3 linked regions of the Sus scrofa genome follow. The protein of the gene in region 3 purifies or fractionates together with the protein of the main gene of each other region. This does not show direct contact. Links are inferred from orthologs where the notes say so. Each region holds a gene or a part of one and is shown on either strand. Other genes may lie near its edges.

Region 1 (4,047 bases), on a different chromosome or scaffold from region 3:
CAACCTACACCACAGCTCACGGCAACGCCGGATCGTTAACCCACTGATCAAGGGCAGGGATCGAACCCGCAACCTCATGGTTCCTAGTCGGATTCGTTAACCACTGCGCCACGACGGGAACTCCAGATTTGCCTATTCTTAACATTTAATGTAAATGAATCGCAAAATACATGCCTTTTTGTGTCTGTCTGCTTTCACTTACCATGTTTTCAAAGGTCATTCATGAAGTGTAACATTTATCAGTACTTCACTCCTTTTTGTTGCTAAATAATATTCCATTGTATGGATATACATATTGTTTCTCCACTCGAGTAGATGGACATTTGTGTGTTTTTTAAAATTTTTCATCAAAGTATAGTTGATTTACAATGTTCTGACAATATCTGCTGTAATTTGTCTTATTTCCACTTTTTAGTTATTATGAATAATGCTGCTTATGAACATTTGTGCATTTGTTTTTTATGGGAACATGTTTCCAGTTCTCTTGGAGAACTAGGGATGGAATTAAGAATCCCTAGAATTGCTGGATCATATGATAACTTTAACTTCAAACGGCTTTCCAAAGAAGGTACACTATTTTGCATTTCCACCAGCAACACATGAGGGCTCTAATTTCTTCATATCCTAGCTAACATCTGTTAGTGTTCTTTCTGATTACAGCCTTCCTAGTGGACATGACATGGAATCTCATTGTGATTTGATTTGCCTTTCCTTGAAAGCCAATGACGTTGAGCGTCTTTTCATGTGCTTATTTGCCATTTGTATATCTTATTTGGAGAACTGTCTATTCAAGTCTTCTGCACATTTGGTAACTGACTGTCTTTTTTCGTCAACATGAGGATTTTTTTTTCCATTGAAGTACACTGTTAGTTCCAAGTGTACCACACAGTGCCCCGATATTTCTAGACGTTACAAAATGATCACTATTTGCCTTTTTAGTGTTGCATTCTACCACTTTTCTTTCATAATTGTTATTTCTGAAAATTTTGCATTGCTAATTAAGATATTATTCATACACTGGGGGTTCCCAGTGCAGTGCAGCAGAAAAGAATCCGACTAATATCCATGAGAATGTGGGTTTGATCCCTGGCCTCACTCAGTGGGTTGGGAAGCCAGTGTTGCTGTGAGCTGTGGTGTGGGTTGCAGATATGGCTCCGATCCGGAGTTGCTGTAGCGTAGGCTGGCAACTGTAGCTCCATTCTGAGCCCTAGTCTGGGAACCTCCCTATGCTGCAGATGTGGCCGTAAAAAAAAAAAAAAGAAAGAAAGAATTCATCCAAAATAAAGATAAACTCCATTTTTTTTTTTTTTTTTTTTTTTTTTTTGGTCTTTTTAGGGCCGCACCTGAGGCATATGGAGGTTCCTGGGCTAGGTGTTGAATTGGAACTATAGCCACTGGCCTACACCACAGCAATACAGCAATGCCAGATCTGAGTCATGTCTGCAACCTACACCATAGCTCAGAGCAACTCCGGATCCTTAACCCACTGAGGAGGCCAGGGATGTAACCTGCGTCCTCATGAATATCAGTCAGATTCCTTTCCACTGAGCCATGATGAGAACTCCCACTTTTTTTTTTTCAATGGCTCTACCTATACCTGTCCTTATTCCAACGATAAAATTTGCAACTGATTAAAGAGGAACTTTTGGAGTCAAGAAACAGGACTTCACTCTCACGGAAACAATCCATTGTCTGAAGTTTGTGTAATATTCTGAATTGGTTCCTTCACATTATTAGTTTAAGAGCCTGTACAGAGGAGTTAAGTCCTGATTCCAATATTTAATGCTTAGGTTCTTAAGCTTAAGGCAGTCAAAATGTATCTACCTATTCAAGACAAGACTTAAAACAAAAAACCCCCCAAAAACTAAACCAGTTAAATTTCCCGTTTCCACTTTCAAACTGCACCTACAAAACCGGGAAAGGAAAGGAGTCCCTGAGAGTAAACACCTGTTTATCTGAAATCTCTTCCAATCTTAGGAACCCGCTCCTATTCTGCGATGGACCGCAGTCTTCCAAACGTAATTTCACAGCTGGGAGAATTCCTTTTCATCCTTCAACACCCAGCTTAAAAGCCAGACATGCCCACTATTAGGTCTTCCTGGGTTCTCTAGGTTCGAATAGTTATAGGAGGATCCTAGGGTCATCTTTCCACTCTTTAATGAGAGCGTTTACTTGTTTAATCACTCATCAAAATTCCGCAACGACAGGAACTAAGCCGCATTCACCCTCATTCTTTCTTCAGAGCTCAGTCCAATGATTGGCACAGAGCAGCAGGGGTTCGGCCCGCTTTTCTTTGGTTTTGTGTGTGCGTGTATGTGTGTGTGTGTGTGTGTGATATAAATGAAAAGAGTCGTGAAAACAGCCCTGCTAGGTGAGCCCAGGTTAGGCCTAGAGTTGGCGGAAGGTGCTAACAATTTTTAGTAGGAATCCTTCTTCCTCCAGTTTTCTCCAGTCTGCTGTTTTACACGGGCTCCCTGAGATTTTTCCCGGGGCGCCCCTGCCCTCCCTCCAGTCGCTCCAGCACCATCCCAGAGCTCACCGTCCAAGGCCTCTTCTGGAGCCGCCGCCACCCGGTCCTGAGCTTCCCCCTGTACCGGGGAACCGAAGAGCTCGGCCACCAGCTCCTTCATCCGAGCCACGCCCGACAGCAAGCCCTGGAAATGGTCGGCATTGCCTGGCGCCTCACAGGGCACTCGTAGCCGCTGCCGCTGCCCGTCCTGCCCGACATACTCGCCCAACAGCTCCATGGCGACCGCTGAGCTTCAAGAACGCGCCACAGGGATACGCCACCCGGAAGCGGAAACCAGCCAAGCGCGGGCGCAGGCGGGAGAAGGAAGAGGAGTGACTTCCGTTTGTCGGAAGTCGCTCCTCCCCCTTCCTTCTCTCGGCGTCTTTGGGATTGGTTCCAGGCACCCAGGCCCCGCCTCCTACGGCCCCGCCCCTCGCGCCCGCTTTTCCCGCCTCCGCCGGGGCTGAGCGGCGGTCCGGGTGACAGTTGAGGATGGCTGGAGCCGAGGGGACCGCGGGGCGGCAGTCGGAGCTGGAGCCCGTGGTATCGTTGGTCGATGTACTTGAGGAGGACGAGGAGCTGGAGAATGAGGCGTGCGCCGTACTAGGCGGCAGCGACTCCGAGAAGTGCTCCTACTCGCAGGTGGGCGCGCGGCCGGGCCTTACCTCCCCCGGCTCCCCTGGACCTTCTCTTCCCGGACTTACCTTCCCTCTTCCCGCCTGCCGAGGCCGGCACCTCCGTGGTAGTCCGGGGTCACTGTTTGTCATAGGCTTCCTCATCCCAGGCTCAGCCGCCCTTTTACCCTTAGTCTCGTGAGCCCCCTTCCTCTGCTTGTGTCCGGCAGGGCCCCCTTCGTCCCTCGGTTTTCCTCCGACCCCCCAGGATCTCTAGGCTTTGACCCTGGAGCAGCCTTTCCTTCCTCTCCCGTCTCTTCTCGGTGCCCCGGGTGTTTTTCACGAAACCATCCTCGTGTCCTCTCAAATCCAGACATCTTTGTCCCTAATTTTCCCATCCTTAGTATTTATTAGGAACCAGGTGGGAGTCAAAGCAGAGATAAAGGAGAGATCTCTGGATCTGAAAATCTCCCCATGTGGGCTGGGCACTTGGACAGCTGGTCCTCTGCAATTTAGTTTGACAAGTGCTATCTGGTTTTTTGGCGAGAGGAAGCAAGTACCATGTCTCTGTGCAGTCTGCTACCCAGGAGGATAGACCGGAACCCGAACAGCTGGTGGCTCTGGCGAAGGGGTGGGGGTAGGGGAGGAGAGCGAGCACTTGGAAGATGTTGTGAACAAGGCTTTGAGGGGGTGTGATGTAGTGTTGGGTGACTCATCCTATATTCTAGGTACAAAAATGGAGAAAGGTGGGTAGAAGAAAACTAATAAGAGGTGAGAATTGGTAGGAGGAAGGTTCCTTGGCGGGGGGCGTGTGGAGTGGAACGTTGGAGGGTGAGGAGAGAGACTTAGGGTCATTGTGTGGTGTGGACTGAGATCATAATACCAGTTGTCATCATTGACCAGTTGAATTTACACTGCAGAATG
Region 2 (4,242 bases), on a different chromosome or scaffold from region 3:
TTAAAAATAACCAAAAATCTCTAAAGAAAAAAAAAAAGAAGGAATAATGAAGTACTCTAAATACCTGTGTATTTCCTCCACTGACATACAGCACAGTTGGGCTGGTGGCTCCAGTGATGAGGCGGCCCATCTCAATGTGGCCTATGCAATGGTTAACACCCACCAATGGCTTATTCCACAACTGGGCAATAGTACGCGCCACAACAGCCACAGAAACCAATGGGGCACCCATACCAGGACCTAGGGAGATAAAAATGGGAGTTAGAATCCAATAGGGATCGGGATAAACAGAACTGGGAGAAAAGGAGGTGTGAGAGGTGGGGTGGGGTGGTGGCAGTAGCAGAGATGGTGGCAGTAATAGAGGCTGCAGCCTATTTTGACCATGCTAGGTTCCAGGTATATCCTTCTTTTGTTGACCACTCTCCCGGCCATACCTTTAGTATACGCAATGCAATCAATATCTTGTGAAGTTAATCCAGCCTCTGTTAGTGCCTCCTGCAGCAGGTCCAGGATAACAGCTCTGTGGTGCCTGGCAGTATCACCTGGAAGGAATCCTAGAAGATGGACATAAGTCAGAAATCATGGGGTCCTTCTACAGAAAGGTAGGTAGAAGTCAAAAACAGACATTTGGAGTTCCCGTCGTGGCGCAGTGGTTAACGAATCCGACTAGGAACCATGAGGTTGCGGGTTCGGTCCCTGCCCTTGCTCAGTGTGTTAACGATCCGGCATTGCCGTGAGCTGTGGTGTAGACTGCAGACGTGGCTCGGATCCTGTGTTGCTGTGGCTCTGGTGTAGGCTAGTGGCTACAGCTCCGATTAGACCCCTAGCCTGGGAACCTCCATATGCCGTGGGAGCGGCCCCAAAGAAATAGCAAAAAAAAAAAAAAAAAAAAAGAAAAAAACAGACATTTTAGTAGGGTAGGAAGAGTCCCTTTCACTTTCCTCAAGCATCCTGTCTTCTATGTTTTCAGATAGTTTTTCCAGCCTGTTCAGCTAGACTTACAGCTCTCAGAAATGCCCTCCTTCATACCCAACTCCTACTTAGCCTTTAGTACTCAATTCAAGTGATGCCTACCTCATATGTTTTGGTGATCTTGTGACCCTACAAGCCTGTGCATGATCACATCACTGTATTAACACACTACATGTAACACAGTAATCACAGCATTACTATTATTTGTAATTTTCCCAGTTTAACCACAATTATCTCAAAGCACTAGCTACTTTATTTTTGTACACTTGGTGCCAAAATGTCTAGAAGAGTGAGTGTTAAACACACGTATATATTTGGAGTTCCCACCGTGGCGCAGTGGTTAACAATCTGACTAGGAACCATGAGGTTTTGGGTTTGATCCCTGGCCTTGCTGAGTGGGTTAAGGATCCGGTGTTGCTGTGAGCTGTGGTGTAGGTCGCAGACGTGGCTTGGATCCTGCATTGCTGTAGCTCTGGCATAGGCCGGTGGATGCAGCTCCAATTGGACCCCTAGCCTGGGAACTTCCATATGCTGCAGGAAGCGGCCCTAGAAAAGACCAAAAAACAAAAAACAAACAAAAACATACATATATATTTCAAATGAGTAATCTGTCACAACATCACCCGACTTTCAGAGAGACTTTTCCGGTATATGCAAACCTCCCATGTATGCAGGTGTTTGGGGGGAGGTTATGCAAGACACAACATAACTTACAAATAACATTTCTAAAAGTGGTAATGGGGAGTTCCCATCCTGGCTCAGTGGTTAAGAATCCCACTAGGAACCATGAGGTTGTGGGTTTGGTCCCTGCCCTTGCTCAGTGGGTTAACGATCCGGCGTTGCAGTGAGCTGTGGTGTAGGTTGCAGACGCGGCTCGGATCCCACGTTGCTGTGGCTCTGGCATAGGCCGGTGGCTACAGCTCCGATTCGACCCCTAGCCTGGGAACCTCCATATGCCTTGGAAGCGGCCCAAGAAATAGCAAAAAGACCAAAAAAAAAAAAAAAAAAAAAAAGTTAAAAGTGGTAATGTGTCTGGTGTTTTAATTCTCAAGTACACAAAGAAACATATTATCATTCCCTTTTAAGAATAAGGAAAAGAAGTCCAAAACCAAAGACTGAATATTGAAAAGCAAGCCAGTTCTGGTACTTAAGCTGGGAATCTTTACATTATTTCTCATTCTAGAATATTTTGATTGCATCTACGTTATACTGTTTATAACACCGTAGTGTAAGTTCTGCTTTTATGTCCAGCTCCACAGCAGGATTATACATCTATTTTTGTATTCAGCAGCCAGTTTACAACTGACACATAAAAGGAGCTCAATAAAGGCTGAACGAACTCAGAAGATCCAGATCCAAGTGTCTGTGACTCCTCAAACCATCAGCCTTGTAATGCTAATACTGTCACACAATCTCAGAGTCGGATCAAAAATTGAGGGGACAATGCGCTCCACGCCCTGCTTCACTAACGTTCAGGAAGATGGACGGTGACGGAGAAGCTCGCCGCAAATGACAAGTTTCCTACTAGCGTACCTGTACCCGGAGGCGTGACGTAAGTGCGCCGAGGGTTCGCCAGCACGGTGCCATCCCGCACCACTCCCACGCCAATCTTGTTGGCGCTGCCTTCAAAACCCAACACCGCCGGCATGGCCGAGCCTGGGAGGAAACGCCGGCAGGGCCCCTAGCTACTACTGGAGCCGTAGAGCCTTCACCAATCCGCGCTGGAATGCAGAAGCCAGGTCTCAAAGGAAGAAAACGAGTTCGCGGCTACCAACCGCGCACCAGGACACCAAACAAGTCCCGCGTTTAGCGCGCGGGCCCTCCCCTCGCATCAAGGTCCCCTCGAGGGCCTGTTCTCTTAATTGCCAGGGACCTTGAGCCGGCATCTGCTCGTTAAATTCCTTTCTGCTTCTCTGCCTCTCTCCCATGGTCCAACCCAGCCTTCTCCACTGATTTTGTTCCCTCCTGCACAGCTTTGGGATCTCCGGTCGGGGCGGCAGTAGGAGTCAAGAATCTGGCACATCGATAAACAGCCCGAGAACGGAGAGCTGGGGCCCTCAGTGCCCTGGAGACACAGAGAACTGAGGCAAGGCTGAGCTTTCGGCCACGTGGCACTAACAGACCAATCATCCGCCTTCCTTCGCCTCCAGACACGCATCTCAGATCACGTGACCACACCAGTTACCACGTGGGGACACAGCGTGTTCCATTCTTTGTGCTGGGGTGAGGAGGAGCTTGACTAGACTCAAGCAGGTCAGTTACAGAGGTGCTCTTCTTTTACCCATCATAGGGGCTTCTCTGGACGTCTGATCGGCAAGCCTGAGTCAGGATTTTTAATTAAGTCCCTGGATTGTCCTGAGGCCCAATATCGTGAGGAGGGTACAAGGCAGTATGAAATGATCTAGTCTTGAGGGTGAGGGTCCGAAAGGCGGACAGTGCATGGAGGCGGGGAAAGAATTCGGAGATAACGTGGTTTGAAGGGCGGGACCTGGTGCGGGGGCGCTCTAGAGAGGAGTCTTTCCCCAGCCCTAGCAGGTTTCACGACTTTTTTGCGTCTGTAGGCAACGCGGTAGAAACACTGCTTCGGTGGGCGACGTGGAACTGCTACAGAAGGGCGTTTATTACAGTGATGCCGAAACGTGGGAAAAAAGCCGCGGTGGCAGAAGATGGGGATGAGCCCAAGTCTGGTAAGAGAGTGAAATGGGCCCCCTCTCCGTTTAAGCGGCGGTGGAGATCTCCGTAATTCCCTTGATGAGCGGGAAGTACAGACCATTTGATTCATTTTTGCAGTTTGTGAAGAAGTCGCGGCAACTGCAGGTTCTCAGTAACTGTATATTTAGCTCCGGATCAAAGTTAAAATACCGCCAACGTTTATCTTATTTTATAGAGCCAGAAGCCAAGAAGAGTAAGGCGGGAGCAAAGAAAACCGAAAAAGAGGCAGCAGGTGATGGGGCAGTCCTGTATGAGGACCCCCCAGATCAGAAAACCTCACCCAGTGGCAAATCAGCCACACTCAAAATCTGCTCCTGGAATGTGGATGGGCTTCGAGCTTGGATTAAGAAAAAAGGTTTAGATGTAAGTGGAATGAAGGGAAGGGTAGAAACCGATCTTGGGGTTTAATTACCTTCTCCTATTTCTGTCCCCAGCACTTAGGTTTAATTCTGTCGGTAGTTTTCTTATGGGAGAGGTACAAGGTTTTCACCAAGTCATACCACTTGTATTTCTTAAATGTCATTAGGACAGTTCTACTGTCATTGTCTTGTTTAATGT
Region 3 (4,632 bases):
GAAGGGCCTTCTTAAGTCAGGATGTATGAATGGGTAACTAGTCTTGTAGGAGCCAGGAGTACATCAGCAAAGGTCTTCATCGTTGTTTGGGAGGCTAAGAGAGCATACAGGCTACCTGGACCTAAAGTTCATTAAACAGTATTAACTACCAAGCCCTTGATGTTAGAGAAGAGATTTACTACACAGAACAGTCATAGGTAGAGTCAGTGGAAGGACAGGAGAAACTATACACACCCAAGATGCTGTCAGTTATGCTAACAGCCATAGAGAGGGGTTCAGACAGATTTGGTAACCATGGAGATGACCATGTGGACACTAACAATTATGATAATGAAAGTACCAACTCGGGAAACTGAGCGCTATAAATAGAATTGGTTCTGGGTGAACTTCAAGTAGGCTGGGCTGATGAAAGATGCTGGAAACCACATTATGCCAACATAAAGGATCTAATGTTTGAAAAGGTGACCTGCCCTGTGTATGAATGAAACTTGCAGGGACTGCGGCTGAGGGTTGGTGTCATAGCAACCCTCAGACCAAAGAGCCTTTCTTCAGTATTTCAAACAAGGTCTCCATGGTGAGGGAGGGAAAATGAACACATCAAGAGTGTATGCAATCCACCAGGAACTCTGATGAACAAGATCTTATTTAATATTAATAGGCAATTGCTAAAGTAAAAGTAATGATCTTCGTCCTGAAGATGATGAATCTGAAACTCAGAGAAATAGTGTTTGTTGCTCCATCCCACAGTGCGGCAGGCACTTCAGGCTGCCTTCCATTTGTGTGAGTGTGCACATATATAAAAAAAAAAAAAACATGGAAAAAAACTTTATACAGTGGTTGGTGGTGGGGCAGACTGGTGACAGGAATAGGCATTCTTTAATTTTTCATGCATGCAAAATTGTGTATCATATGAATTTGTTACAGCAATTAAAGCAAAGGGTAAAAATTTGTTTGCTAAGCACTCCCAGTCAGCTTGGTTTGTCTCCTTTGGAAAACTCGACAACCTCATATGCCCGCCACCTTCTCTGACTCTGAATCTTTTTCTCCTGTAAAATGGGCTTTCATCATTTAATCTTATTCCCCCAGAATGCACTCAATAATTCGTAGCTATTATTATCTTAGCGCTAAAGACATGGGCCACGTGGTTTACTGCCCACCTGCCACACCTAATTCTGATTAGTTTAAGCCCCCTTTGGGGGGAATCAGGAGCTCGGGGACGAGGAGTTCCAAAAAGAGAACTCTTGTGGGTTTAGTTCCCTTGGAACCAGAGACTCCCTAGGCAAGCAAGTTCCCAAAGAGTTTTCCGCGAGAGGCGCCGAAAGTTTCCGGAAATAGCCGAAGGTCTGGGAGGCGGGGCCACAATAGCCGCCAGCTAGAGTCGCCAAAGGCTTCCGGAAACAGCCGAGGAGTGGGAAGACTGGTTTACCGAGAGTTGCCGAGAGTTTACGGAGGTAGCCGGAAGATCCGGGAGGCGGGGCCACGAGGCTTAGAAAAGAGCCGAAAGCTTGAGGGGCGGAACCACTTCCACAAGGCGGAAGTGTCGGCGTTCGGGTGGCGGAAGAGGTCCGAGGATTTCCAGAAAGAGCCGAAGCAGCTCCGACAGTTCCCGGAGAGAGACGAGGGGTTCCGAGCGGCGGCGCGGGGACGCAAACATGGCGGCGGCCGGCGCTGCTGTTCCTGCTGCCGAACCGAATGAGGAACCCGCGCCCGCGACGGAAGCGGTGGCCGCGGCCCGGGAGCGGAGCAGTCTCTTCTTGAGGGGCCTGGAGCTGGTGAAGCAGGGTGCCGAGGCGCGCGTGTTCCGCGGCCGCTTCCAAGGCCGCGCGGCCGTGGTGAAGCACCGCTTCCCCAAGGGCTACCGGCACCCGGCGCTGGAGGCGCGGCTCGGCCGGCGACGGACGGTGCAGGAGGCCCGGGCGCTGCTCCGCTGCCGCCGCGCAGGTGAGGCGGCCCGACTCGCGGTCGTGGAGGACCCCGAGGCTCCGCGGTCCGGGCAACGCGGGTGAGGGGGCTCCCCTGCTCTGCAGACCGCGATTTGCCTCAATTTCTCCGTTTGTACCTTCTGCGTGGCCTTCCGTTAAAAAAATGTCATCCTTTCATCCTTCTTTTCATTCATTAATTTTTAAGAAGTCACTTGACCTTGCAGCGACTAGCATTTGCCTCGGAGCCATTGGTGGCAGGTTCACTTCCCGGCTATCCCACTCCTGCTCAAAGTTGAGCATGTCATTTAACTGCCCTGAGCCTTGGTTTTCCCATTTGTACCGTCTCAGCTTTCGAGCATCATCTTTTTATTCATTACTTTTAAGAAGTCTGAATTTAAATACTGCGCTGCTTCATATGTAGTCTTTCAGCAAAGTTATATAACCTCTGCCTCAGTTTCCTCACCTACAAAGGGAAGTCACAGTAGCAGTATTCATCTCATAGGGATGTCGTGACCATTAGACGAGATTATATACGTCGTTTTTTATGTTTGGACGTATGACTGAATCTTAGCGCTCAAACATTAGATTTCATTCAGTTGTTTATTTTTTCATTAAAACACTGCCGAGCACCACCACCAAAAACCTTTCCTCAAATGAGAACGGCAGGCTCAGAGAGAAGTAATTTGCCCAAGGGTACACAGGTAATTAGTGACCCAGCCAGGCTCTCAGGCCCAGAAACACTGGCTTTTCACTTTTGCATTTCCTCCCTTTCTTTCACTGGTATTTTTTAGGCATATACTGTACCCCCAAGACATTGTTAGGTGCTGGGAGATCTGGAGGAAATTCAGTAGCAAATGCATCTCTGGACATGCTTGGACTTAACAAAGTGATTCGTGTGTTCATATTTTCTATTTTCACCCTTTCCAGGATCTAAGTTCTTTTAAGCAAGGGTGGTGGCTATTGCTGCCTGCTGTGTCCCTACTGATTTACCTCCAGTATCTAGAAGTGTCTTACGCATGCTTGACATTCAGTAGAGATTCACTGAATCTTCAGATTCAATGACGTCATTGAATTGTTGGAAGTATTGTTGTTATTGAAGCAGAAATGGAGGCGTAGAGAAATTAATGTGACTTTCCCTCATAAGGAAGGGAGCTGGGATTTGAACTTGTCCTTCCTATCTATGAAGATGAATCTGAAAGCCAACATGCTGCTCGGCCTCCTGCTCCTGTCCTTGTCGGATAGAAACTGCTTTGACTGGGCTGTGCTTACCCTTCTGGCTCTTTGTTTTGTATTTTAGGGAGTAAGCATTACAAATGAAGTCCAGTCATAAAGGGTGGAAGGGGAATTCCTGTTGTGGCACAGTGGAAACAAATCTGACTAGTATCCTTGAGGATGTGGGTTTGATTCCTGGCCTTGCTCAGTGGGTTAAGGATCTGGCTTAGACACAAGCTGTGGTATAGGTCAAAGACAGCTCAGATCTGGTGTTGCTGTGGCTGTGGTGTAGGCCAGCAGCTGCAGCTCTGATTCAGCCCCTAGCCTGGGAACCTCCATGTGCCATAGGTGTGGGCCTTAAAATTAAAAAAAAAAAAAAGCATAAAAATAAATGGTAGAAGGGAGGAGGTAGCTTTGGCACTGCTGACCCTTGCTGTGGGGAGGTCTAAACACAGTCCTGCAGGGGCAACTTCTGGAGGAGTTAAGCTGCACCATTCTACAGTATTCCTAAATCTTTTTCCCAAAACACACAGATATACACTGTGAAAAACTGGCTCAGTTTGAACATTAGGCTTACTATTAAAAAAAAAAAAAAGAATCTAACCCGTGTCTTGGTTGCAGGGATATGTGCCCCGGTTGTCTTTTTTGTGGACTATGCTTCCAACTGTTTATTCATGGAAGAAATTGAAGGCTCAGTGACTGTTCGAGATTATATAGAATCCACTATGGAGACTGAAAACTCTCCCCAGAGTCTCCTCGGCTTAGCCAAGAAAATCGGGCAGGTTTTGGCTCGCATGCACGACGAAGACCTCATTCACGGTGATCTCACCACGTCCAACATGCTCCTGAAACCCCCGCTGGAAGAACTGAACATCGTGCTCATAGACTTTGGGCTGAGTTTCATTTCAGCACTTCCAGAAGATAAGGGAGTGGACCTGTACGTGCTAGAGAAAGCCTTCCTCAGTACCCATCCCAACACCGAGACTGTATTTGAAGCCTTTCTAAAGAGCTATGCCGCCGCCTCCAAAAAGGCCAGGCCAGTGCTAAAAAAATTAGATGAGGTGCGCCTGCGAGGGAGAAAGAGGTCCATGGTTGGGTAGAAGAACGTGCGTGACGACCACAGACAGTTCAGCCACTCACCTCACAGTAAATTTGAAGGAATGCTATGAATATGGGATTCGACCTAAATAAAGGTGGTGAGGTATTTTAAGTGCTGTCTGTGATCCCGCTTGTCGAGTGGTGTTATCCACTGTTGACTGTTGTCAAGAGCTTGCTGTGTCCCTAAGACACGTTCTGGCAGAACTGGGTATTCAGACTACCCCTCAGACAGGCTTTCTCTGCAATTGTGACGTGTGTACCTCAGATCCAAGGGCGGCGTTACCAAACATTGAGCCTCATACTGAGAACATTATTCTCTTTTTAGTCCTTTGGTTGAGACAAGGCCAGTCTCAGCTGGTGACAGTACGTATTTATCAGCCCTCTTACCTAGCGTTTTTTT

Evidence for each region. The genes of interacting proteins can lie anywhere in the genome.
Region 1: the proteins of TP53RK (region 3) and GON7 purify together in Homo sapiens (affinity purification with mass spectrometry; 5 studies listed by BioGRID and IntAct, counting the BioPlex papers as one, with this or other methods). This does not show direct contact. The link is inferred for Sus scrofa from reciprocal best matches to the Homo sapiens genes TP53RK and GON7.
Region 2: the proteins of TP53RK (region 3) and OSGEP purify together in Homo sapiens (affinity purification with mass spectrometry; 5 studies listed by BioGRID and IntAct, counting the BioPlex papers as one, with this or other methods). This does not show direct contact. The link is inferred for Sus scrofa from reciprocal best matches to the Homo sapiens genes TP53RK and OSGEP.

Annotation. Positions count from the first base shown.
Region 1 is NC_010449.5:114,588,005-114,592,051, forward strand, and holds the start of GON7 (uncharacterized protein C14orf142 homolog), read right to left. Parts: upstream 2,801-4,047; 5' UTR 2,748-2,800; coding exon 2,540-2,747; intron 1-2,539. Other genes in the region: putative E3 ubiquitin-protein ligase UBR7, read left to right, coding at 3,002-3,151. UniProt on the Homo sapiens protein: Component of the EKC/KEOPS complex that is required for the formation of a threonylcarbamoyl group on adenosine at position 37 (t(6)A37) in tRNAs that read codons beginning with adenine.
Region 2 is NC_010449.5:78,453,229-78,457,470, reverse strand, and holds the start of OSGEP (probable tRNA N6-adenosine threonylcarbamoyltransferase), read right to left. Parts: upstream 2,801-4,242; 5' UTR 2,621-2,800; coding exon 2,506-2,620; intron 555-2,505; coding exon 435-554; intron 241-434; coding exon 65-240; intron 1-64. Other genes in the region: APEX1 (DNA-(apurinic or apyrimidinic site) lyase), read left to right, coding at 3,602-3,659, 3,860-4,047. UniProt on the Homo sapiens protein: Component of the EKC/KEOPS complex that is required for the formation of a threonylcarbamoyl group on adenosine at position 37 (t(6)A37) in tRNAs that read codons beginning with adenine.
Region 3 is NC_010459.5:48,814,826-48,819,457, reverse strand, and holds the start of TP53RK (TP53-regulating kinase), read left to right. Parts: upstream 1-1,473; 5' UTR 1,474-1,652; coding exon 1,653-1,941; intron 1,942-3,755; coding exon 3,756-4,234; 3' UTR 4,235-4,632.